Mus musculus: one gene and its partner. The protein of the gene in region 1 purifies or fractionates together with the protein of each later gene. This does not show direct contact. Links are inferred from orthologs where the notes say so. Each region holds a gene or a part of one and is shown on either strand. Other genes may lie near its edges.

The links. The genes of interacting proteins can lie anywhere in the genome.
Region 2: the proteins of Cct8 (region 1) and Tle2 purify together in Homo sapiens (affinity purification with mass spectrometry; 3 studies listed by BioGRID and IntAct, with this or other methods). This does not show direct contact. The link is inferred for Mus musculus from reciprocal best matches to the Homo sapiens genes CCT8 and TLE2.

The regions. Positions count from the first base shown.
Region 1 is NC_000082.6:87,492,124-87,497,665, reverse strand, and holds the start of Cct8 (T-complex protein 1 subunit theta), read left to right. Parts: upstream 1-1,796; 5' UTR 1,797-1,877; coding exon 1,878-1,937; intron 1,938-3,238; coding exon 3,239-3,329; intron 3,330-3,879; coding exon 3,880-3,959; intron 3,960-5,542. UniProt on the Homo sapiens protein: Component of the chaperonin-containing T-complex (TRiC), a molecular chaperone complex that assists the folding of actin, tubulin and other proteins upon ATP hydrolysis.
Region 2 is NC_000076.6:81,587,527-81,591,957, forward strand, and holds the end of Tle2 (transducin-like enhancer protein 2), read left to right. Parts: intron 1-26; coding exon 27-274; intron 275-347; coding exon 348-495; intron 496-1,282; coding exon 1,283-1,433; intron 1,434-1,893; coding exon 1,894-1,970; intron 1,971-2,698; coding exon 2,699-2,806; 3' UTR 2,807-2,826; coding exon of another isoform or gene 2,827-3,162; 3' UTR 3,163-3,319; downstream 3,320-4,431. Other genes in the region: Tle6 (transducin-like enhancer protein 6), read right to left, coding at 3,509-3,613, 3,734-3,810, 4,360-4,431.

The sequences.
Region 1 (5,542 bases):
ACCCAATGATTGTTTTTAATGGGTATCGTAGTAACCATTGATTGTTAATATTATAAATCAAACTATTTAACATTAATATAAAAATATAGCAGTGAACACTGAAGGCTAACATAACATTATTGAAAATGTCTCTCTTGAGGACTGATATTCTCAATTTTTTCCCCAAATATTTTATATGTGGCTTAGTGGACGACAAAGAGTGTAAGTGGCTCCTTGTGCTTTTCACATTCATACTGTGACATACTGAACACCCAGCAGGCCTTCACAGCTCCCCACAGGAAGAGGAGACAGCTCTGTATTACTATGAAAACACTTGCGTAGTCATGGGCCCTGAAAGGGCGTTGGAGAGCCTCGGAGGTGTCAAAACCAATCTTTGAGAACCACTGAACGTTTGCTCTGTCTTCCAATATAATTGGCTCACTTACCTTGTGTTCGGTGACAAGAAAGTATTTTCATGGTTACATTTTTTTTTCCTTTTTCTTTTCTTTTCTTTTTCTTGGATATTTTCTTTATTTACATTTCAAATGTTTTCCACTTTTCAGGTCTCCCCTTCGGAAACCCCCTATCCCATCCCCACTCCTCCTGCCTCCATGAGGGTGCTCCCCCACCCACCCACTCCCATCCTCCCACCCTGGCATTTCCCTACAAATGGTGCATTGAACACCCTAAGGCCTGAGGGCCTCTCTTCCCACTGATGTACAACAAGGCCATCCTCTGCCACATATGTGGCCAGTGCCATGGGTTGCTCCATGTTTAGTCTTTGGTTGGTTGTCCTGTCCCTGGGAGCTCTAGGGGAACTGGCCTGTTGACACTGTTGCTCCCTCCATGGGGCTCCAAACCCCTTCAGCTCCTTCAGTCCCATGGTTACATATTTAAAATGTTTAATAGAAAAAAAAATTGCAGTTGATAGTACGGTTGCAATTATGAGTCTGTCCCAATGTAAAGAAAATCTTAATTTCTCTATGTCCAACGACTCACCAAAGCGTTTCATATTTTTCTGCAAGGGCAGGAGATGCTTCCATTTTTTTGTATTTTTTTATTGTAAGAGTGTTTTACTTTCTCTATGAAGTTATTCTATTTACATAGAAATGTTTGTGAAAAAGATTCTGGGGGAGTAGAGAATATCTATATAGATATATAGATATAGATAAAGTGGTTAACTATTCCCACTTTGTAATCTGCCCATCTAGGGTAGAAATCGTCGCTGTAATATCTATTGGCCTGGTGACCTCTGCGTACCACTGAATTGTGGTTATCAACTTCCCTTCCATAAAATGGAGATTAATATTCATTCTTAAATTTGACCAATAACAAAGATAACTGCACTTAAGCAAACCGCTTAGCTCTGCTACGCACGTGCAGTCCACGCGTTGCAATCCTCCATGCTATTTCAAAGATCACCTTCGAGCCTTCAGTGCTTCCCAGTGACCAACACAGAGGATGTCCATTGGTAGTTTATAGGGGCGAGGGCGGGTGAGCTTGGAGAAGAAAAGGCTAACCTGCCCCGGTGCTGGGTCTGCAGGATTAAGTTTAAGTGAAGGATAAGACGTTGGGTGTCCGCCACCGAAATATCACAAGCCAAACGTCCTAACCAAAGTTTACTCATTAACTTAGGACAAGGGACACGAAGGGAGCATGCACGCTCTGGGTTCGGCCTGATCGTCCGCTTTGATCGGGAATCGGCAGATCAGGTCTGTCTGCTGGAACCTCTGGTTCTCGCGATATTTCAGAGACGCTGCAGGTTGAAGGGGCGGGGCGACCGGAAGTAGGGGGACGCGAGGCGGCGCCGAGGCCCATTCCCAGCAGGCAGTGCGCGGCGCCCCTTGCTTCCTCGGCGTCTCGGAGCGAGCGCGTGAGCGGTGGACTGCGGCCGAGCCATGGCGCTTCACGTCCCCAAGGCCCCGGGCTTTGCCCAGATGCTCAAGGATGGAGCCAAAGTAGGTGGCGTGGAGGGACTGTACGGTGGGAGGGTGGGTCTGCGCCTGTGGCGACCGCGACAGGCCTGCGGGCGGGCGGCCGCGCCGCGATCGGGATGGAGAAGGTTCTAGAAAGGGAAGCGTGCTCTGGATGCCGGCTCGCTGGAACTGGTGGGCATTTCTGTTATTCCCCCGGCGGCTTCGGGTTTGCATCCCAGCTCCCCACGCCCCTGTCTGCGGCATGGAGCCCACGGGCGCCGCCCTTAACGCGAGCTGGCGATGCGTTAATGAACTTGGACGGAATTGGTAACGGGTGGTTGGAGGGCCGGGGATTGTAGGATGGAGATGACACGAGTCCGGCATGGTCACTCCTGGGCCTGCCCTTGGTTGCTTCCTTCCAGACACGTCCGATCCCCACTGCTCTACTGAAAACTCTCCTCTGGACGTTCTGTTTCCTTTACCTTTTCTGAGTTGAGACCGGGCCGAAGGCTGTTAACTGTCTTTTCACTCTGACTGTCCGATGTCGTAGCCTACAGGATAAATGAAGCCCCACCCCAGATCGAATAGGCCGTAGTTTCAGGAGTGATTTTTTTTTTTTTTTTAAAGCGGTCACATTGCTTATGGAGCGATTTGTCCTGAGTTCCCCAAGCTGCCAGATAACGTTTGTTTTGTCTTTCATATTTTTACAAGTTGTAGAAATAGCGGATTCTTAGCAGTACAGAGAGGTGGTGTCCCCTTTGTAGTGATAACTGGCATACTGAATGGATGTCAGGGCTTAATGTAAGTTAGTAAGTTCTGCAAATGACACTGTTAACCTTTTGAGGGGTAGCAACAGCTTCCAGTTTCCATCTTTTCCTCCATCACTCTGGCTGAGGACATGATACATTTAAAGGATTTCTGTCACAGGCTAGCATTTCAGCACAGAGATACTTTGTGTAAATCGGTACTGATGGAGGCTATAGTGAAGACAAGTTTTTTTAAAGTACCCCCATCCCCCAAATTTAGGTTAAAAGCTAGTACTAGTAGGCTGGGATTGTAGTTTAATGGTAGATTGCTTTCTTGTGTTCAATCCCTGGAAAAGGCAGAAGGAAGAATAGTTGTTATTTAGCTAGGTGAGTAATAATCTGCCAAGTAGGAGCTATTGATTATCCCATTAGTTTACAGATAGGAAAGAGAGCCAGGCCCAGTGGGGGAAACTGAGGCTGTCTGATGACTGCCTGTGTGATCCTGGCTGTTTCTTAGAAGCATACTCAACAGAGGTATCCTGCGGTAGAAAACTCTTAACTTGGTTATCATGCCTAAGCAGACATTTTCTTTTTCAGCATTTCTCGGGATTAGAAGAGGCTGTGTATAGAAATATACAGGCCTGCAAGGAGCTTGCTCAGACTACTCGCACAGCGTACGGACCAAATGGTAATGACCAAGTTCAGGCTGTGTGGTGTGACTGTTAGCGTAGAGAGCGGGCCTCACGTGTTTTATGGTCGGTGGCATTGATGTGCCTCTCACTTTCAGTCAGGAATGCAGCTTTCTGGGAAAAGAGAAATTGGAAACGATGCTGTTACCCTGTTAGGTCCTAGGGAAGTCCAGCATCCTCACTAGTGGCCAGTACTATTGTGGAAAGGCTCAGCAGTCTGCAGAAAACAGCACGGCATCAGGAAGCTCTTCCTTCCCTTTAACCACCAGTTGAATTAGAGATGCACACAAAGAGATTACGGAAGAAACCAAATGTGTTTCTAAGCATATTGATTTTAGTGTTAATTCCTGTTTATTAAGCACGTCTTACATGCTAAGCATGTTGGTGTTTAGTCAGGGAAGCCCATGGGGCTATGATGCTGATCTAAACAGATGGTGTGTTCTGGGGCTAAACATCAGTACGGCTTCTTGCCGGAGTTTTCCTGGGTTGTTTGCAGAATATTTGAATAATAATGGAACCTTTTTTTTTTTCTTTGCAACTACTTTTAAGGAATGAATAAAATGGTCATCAATCGCCTGGAGAAGTTGTTTGTGACAAACGATGCAGCGACTATTTTAAGAGAGCTAGAAGTAAGTTTTGTTTCAAAACCATCAAAAACCCATGACTCTGACATAGGTGAAACTGTATTCAATCTAGAGGACGAAAGGCTGTTTCTTCCTCCACTTTATTGTGAAGATTTATAAGTGACCTTTCTAGGTTTTCCATTTTGGCTACTCAAACTCTTAAATTGTCTGTGGGTGGGTGGGTTGAGGAGTATTTCTCTGATGATGATGAGATTTATTATTCTATAGATTGATTCTAATGTGAATTCTCCAGCAGTATAAACTGGTAAATATTGATACTTTATTTTACATAACCTTTTGGCATTTTCCTTTTTTCCCTGAAGTTTTGTTGTCCAAGAGGGTGTGGAATAGATACTTGGAGCAGGATAAGAGGGCTGTGATGCCCATCTCTCGCTCCATTAAACCTGTGGTTTAGTATTGGAGGAGGGGGTAAATAGTGTTTTTTAAAAAATGAGAAAAATTCACATTTCTCTAACAGCTTAAAGAATATGCTAAGAAAAATCTACCTTCACAAATATTTGTGGAGGAATTTTTCATGGTAAATGAAATGAGGAGGACTGGAGTTGAGTGCAGACTCCTCTTGATCAGTTCCCAGCACCCACATCAGGCAGTCCACACAGAGCATGGAATCCTAGTTTAGAGTGACCCGCCACCCCCTTCCAGTCTCTAGGCACCTATTCACACATAGCCACACACAGACACACACAAAAATAAAAATGACCTTCAGAATAACAGAGCTGTGGTGTTGACTTAAAGGGGGACGTAGTCTTTGATTTATAAATGTGGCCTGGGGAGATAGCTCAGTGATGCAGCTCTTGAGCCTAACAAACACAAAGCCCCAGGTTCTGTCCCCATTGCTGAAAATTTAAATTGAACAGTGTCTAAGAGTAATTCCTAAGAATTGAATTTTGTGGCTTTTTAAAAATACTTTGAAGCTTGGGTGTAGGTGCCTGTCTAGGCTTTGATTGCCGACGCTGTATAAACCTGTATAAAAGTGTGGTGGCTTCTGCATGCGGTCAGCACTCAGGAGATGGGGGGGGGGGGCAAAAGGATCCGAAGTTCAAAGTCAACGTCGGCTAGAGTCTGACTGTGTGTACTATCTCAGAGAGAGAGTCTGACTGTGTGTACTATCTCAGAGAGAGTCTGACTGCGTGTACTATCTCAGAGAGAGAGTCTGACTGCGTGTACTATCTCAGAGAGAGAGTCTGACTGCGTGTACTATCTCAGAGAGAGTCTGACTGTGTGTACTATCTCAGAGAGAGTCTGACTGCGTGTACTATCTCAGAGAGAGTCTGACTGTGTGTACTATCTCAGAGAGAGAGTCTGACTGCGTGTAGTATCTCAGAGAGAGAGTCTGACTGCGTGTTGTACTATCTCAGAGAGAAAAGAAAAAGGGGAGTCATGGGTTCCTCAAACAAGAGCATGTTTAGATGTATAAGTGGTATTAAAACTGCCTATGTTTTATTTCTTGTAAAACCTTTGGTTTGTTTTTGAGACAGGGTCTCTGTTCAGGATGTCATGGGCTGGCTCTGTAGACCAGGCTGGCTTGGAACTCTAGATCCCCTCCTGTCTGTGCCTCCTGAATGCTG
Region 2 (4,431 bases), on another chromosome or scaffold:
CCTGGCCCTGCTTCTCGCCGTGGTAGAACCGAGACAACTACATCCGCTCCTGCAAGCTGCTGCCCGACGGGCAGAGCCTGATTGTAGGTGGCGAGGCCAGTACCCTGTCCATTTGGGACCTGGCAGCACCCACACCACGGATCAAAGCAGAGCTGACTTCGTCTGCCCCGGCCTGCTATGCTCTGGCCGTCAGTCCGGACGCCAAGGTCTGCTTCTCCTGCTGCAGCGACGGTAACATCGTGGTCTGGGACCTGCAGAACCAGGCCATGGTCAGGTGTGTGGGGCGGCCCCGGGGGTGGTGAGTGCACAGGTGACTGCAGTCTTGGACGTCTGCTCTCGCCCTGTAGACAGTTCCAGGGCCACACGGACGGGGCCAGCTGCATCGACATATCAGACTACGGGACCCGGCTGTGGACTGGGGGCCTGGACAACACTGTGCGCTGCTGGGACCTGCGCGAGGGCCGCCAGCTTCAGCAGCATGACTTCAGTTCCCAGGTGCGCTCACAATCCTCGGCCTCCCCGAGGGTGTCCCTACCCGGCCTGAAACCGGATAGGACACGGGGACTGAGGAGACAGCTTGGTGGGTAAAGTATTTGCCTTGATGGCAGGAGTTCAAATCTCTAGAATCCACATAAAAAGCCAGACAGACATAAAAAACCTGCCTATAACCCTGGGCATGCCGAGAGCTGGAGGGTCAGAATAGTCAGTGGGAGACGGACTGCCTTACATACGCCTTTAAAAATAAGATTTACTTATTTTACTTATATGAGTACACTGTAGCTGTCTTCAGACACACCAGAAGAGGGCATCGGATCCCATTATAGATGGTTGTGAGCCACCATGTGGTTGCTGGGAATTGAATTCAGGACCTTTCTTCAGCCCAGGACATGTCTTTAATTCCAGCAATGGGAGGCAGAGCAGGTGGATCTCTGTGAGTCCCAGGGTGGTCAGAGCTGCATAGTGAGACAGTCTCAACCCACCCCCAAATACAAATACAAATAAAAAACCACTGCTAGACTAAGAGTGACTGCAGCTTCTACCCCTGATCCTGACTCCCCATCAGTCAGAAGCAGGACACAGTCAAGGCTCAGCCCTGGACCTTGAGCCACCTGTAGAGCCAGCTCCCTCTGCCCAGAATCTCAAGGTGCTGTGTTCCTCTGATGAATGCTAAGGTGTGACACCTGTCACTGGCCACCTTCTTGTCCCCATTTGGGGCACCCCTGGGCCTTCTTCCAGCATCATGTGTGACCCCAGGGTCTCAGCACTCTCTCTCTTGACCTAGATTTTCTCATTGGGCCACTGTCCCAATCAGGACTGGTTGGCTGTGGGGATGGAGAGCAGCCACGTGGAGGTCCTGCATGTGCGCAAGCCTGAGAAGTACCAGCTCCGCCTCCATGAGAGCTGCGTGCTGTCACTCAAGTTCGCTTCCTGTGGTACAAGCCTGGGAGACCCCTTGGCACAGCAGAGGGAGGGTGGATGGATGGGGGTGAAGCCTTAAATTAGATAACGAATTACCCAGGCCTGCCCACCCAGCTGCTTATTCAGGTCAAAGCCAGTTTAGATAAATGCACAGACACATTTAAAAAAAAAAAGATGGACCAGGCGAGGTGACTTGCATGCCTTTAATTCCAGTACTCGGGAGGCAGAGACAGGTAGATCTGAGTTCAAGGCTAGCCTGGCCTGTAGAGCCAGTTCAGGACAGCCAGGTCCACACAGAAAAACTGTCTCAAAAAAAAAAAAAGACAGCTATCAAGGACACTCCATGTTGCCTGGCAGCTCTCAGCTTTTTGATACTGCATAGTAGGCGGCTTCAGGAAGGAGTGAATTTCTAAGGTTTCCTACCCTGGTGGTCACTCCCATCCTCCCCTCTGCCCCCTCCCCTTCCCATCTCAGGACGCTGGTTTGTGAGCACAGGCAAGGACAACCTGCTCAATGCCTGGAGGACACCCTATGGGGCCAGCATTTTTCAGGTACCTGGTCTCCCCCAAATGGAGGCCAGCTCGACATTTCCTGTCCTAGACACTTCCTGTTACAGAGTCCCACACTTTGGGTCCCTCTGTGTACCACAGTGGATTTATTATAAGTACACTGTAGCTGTCTTCAGACACACCAGAAGAGGGAATCAGATCTCATTACAGATTGTAAGCCACCATGTGGTTGCTGGAATTTGAACTCAGGACCTCTGGAAAAGCAGTCAGTGATTTTAACCGCTGAGCCATCTCACTAGCCCTAGGTGGCAATTTCTAATAAGTCTCTTGAACCTTCAATGGATGTGCTATAGTGGTCTTTCACATTTCCTGTCCTTCCTAACCATCAAAGACCCCAGGAGTCTCCAATCCAGAGCAGTACCATTATCAACCCTTCACATGTCAGGGATACCCCTGTCCCTCCAGGACACGGTGACACAGATCTGTAATCTTAGCACTTGGAAGGATGGGGCAGAAGTATGGTTGGTTTGAGAGAGAATGAGGGAAGAGGAGGGAGGTACTTTGCTGTGAAGCCATCTGAAGTCGAGCTGTGATGAGTTAGGTACCATCTCTTAAGTCACCAGTCAGGCTAGCTCAGTCCCCAGCTACAAGGCCCTGGCAACAGTCACATCTACCAGCCTTTGTTGTCCTCCAAGCCCCATGCTTCTGGTCTGTAAACTTGGTGGTGGTGACCATGTGGCCACCCCTCACCTCCCCTTTCTCTGTCCCAGTCCAAAGAATCATCTTCTGTACTGAGCTGCGACATCTCCAGGAATAATAAGTACATCGTGACAGGCTCAGGGGACAAGAAGGCCACTGTGTATGAGGTGGTGTACTGAGCCATCTGCTGCCTTTTCAGGTCACCTGCCCTGGATGGCTGGCCACTCGGGACACGGGCCCCTCTGCTCATACCTGGCTTGCTCCCTCCTGGCTGGGTGGGGCTGGGGCACTGGGGAAATATAACACATTTATCAACTTGCTTTCTTTCTGTGTGTGTGTGAAGCGTACAGGTGAGGGACCCGACTGGGTATCAGCCTTCATTTCTCTTTGCCCCAATTTTCAGAGTGTGGATCTCACTAATGAGCCTCACAGACAGGTCAACATGCCCCAGGAATCCTCCTGTCTCTACCTACAGAGCTGGATCAGGGATTTACACTCACTCCTTATCCTGCCTGGTGTGGGCTTTACCAACTGAACCATCTTCCTGGCTCTCTTTAAAACAAAAACTGGGTGGGGCTAGTTTCTTAGTGTAGCACTGGCTGTCCTGAAACTATGTAAACCAGGCTGGTCTGGAACTCAGAAATCCGCCTGCCTCTGTCTCCTGAGTGCTGGGATTAAAGGCAAACACTCAGAAGTTGGAGGGCTCAGAGCTACAAAGTTCTTCCAAAACCTGGGTAAAGGACAAATCTCTGCCATTTCAATTGTTTTATTACACGCAACTCGGGATCTGCACACCCCATGGAAGCCTCTAGAAGCACTGCAGACCCATCACACCCATTGCCATCCACCACTGTGCAGTTAGGGGAGGGGAGTTGAAGTTGTCAGTACTTGATGTGGTACACCGAGGCACAGTCCCTGGATCCTGTGATGATGAGCCTGCCGTTCTCAGTCATGTCGAAGCATCTGACAGGGCCAACCTCGGGGACCTGAGACAGCAGCTGAGTGAGCTCAGTTCCTCTCCACCCAGAGCTTCAGAAATGACCCCTGTGGGGATGATGCTGAGGGTCCCGCTGACAGAGCCCCCAGTGCCCCCTGCACATAAGTACCTGGAACAGTTTTGCTCCGGTGGGCATGCTGTGGACCGTGATGAAGTTGCCCATACCGACGCTCGCCCACCACTTGCCTAGGAGGAGGGGAAGGAAGACAGGGAGGTTACAGCAGACCCCACCCATTCACTAACATCCAGCAGCACCCAGGAGGCTGAGGCAGGAGGACTGAGAGAGTTTGAGATGAGAATGAGTCTAGGCTACATGAGACCTTGCCTCAAAGAACAAGGCAGAACAGCAAAAAGTTTTACTGTTTTGTCTTTTGTTATGTTTTGCCGTCTGAAGCCTTTTATAGCTCAGGATAGCCTTAAGCTCCCCAAGTAGCCAGAGATGACTCTGAACTCCTGATTATGATTATGTTAATAAAAGATGTTGGAGTGTGGACAATACCCAAGCCCTGACTGGGCACTGAGTAAATAGCAGGGTCCTCTGAGAGGCCAGTGGCCACAGTGTGCACCCATCCTCAGTGGACTGGTTTCCCAGACAGGGTTTCTTTGTGGAGTCCTGGCTGTCCTGGAACTCTGTACACCAGGGCTGGTCCTGAACTCAGATCCACCTGCCTCTGCCTCCCCAGTGCTGGAATTAAAGGCGTGTGCCACCATGCCCAGGCTCAGTGGACTCCTTACCATTTGGGGAGAACTTGAGGCCTAAGATGGTGTTGTCCTTGGTGTCCACAGTGAGCACCTGGTCCCTCTTCC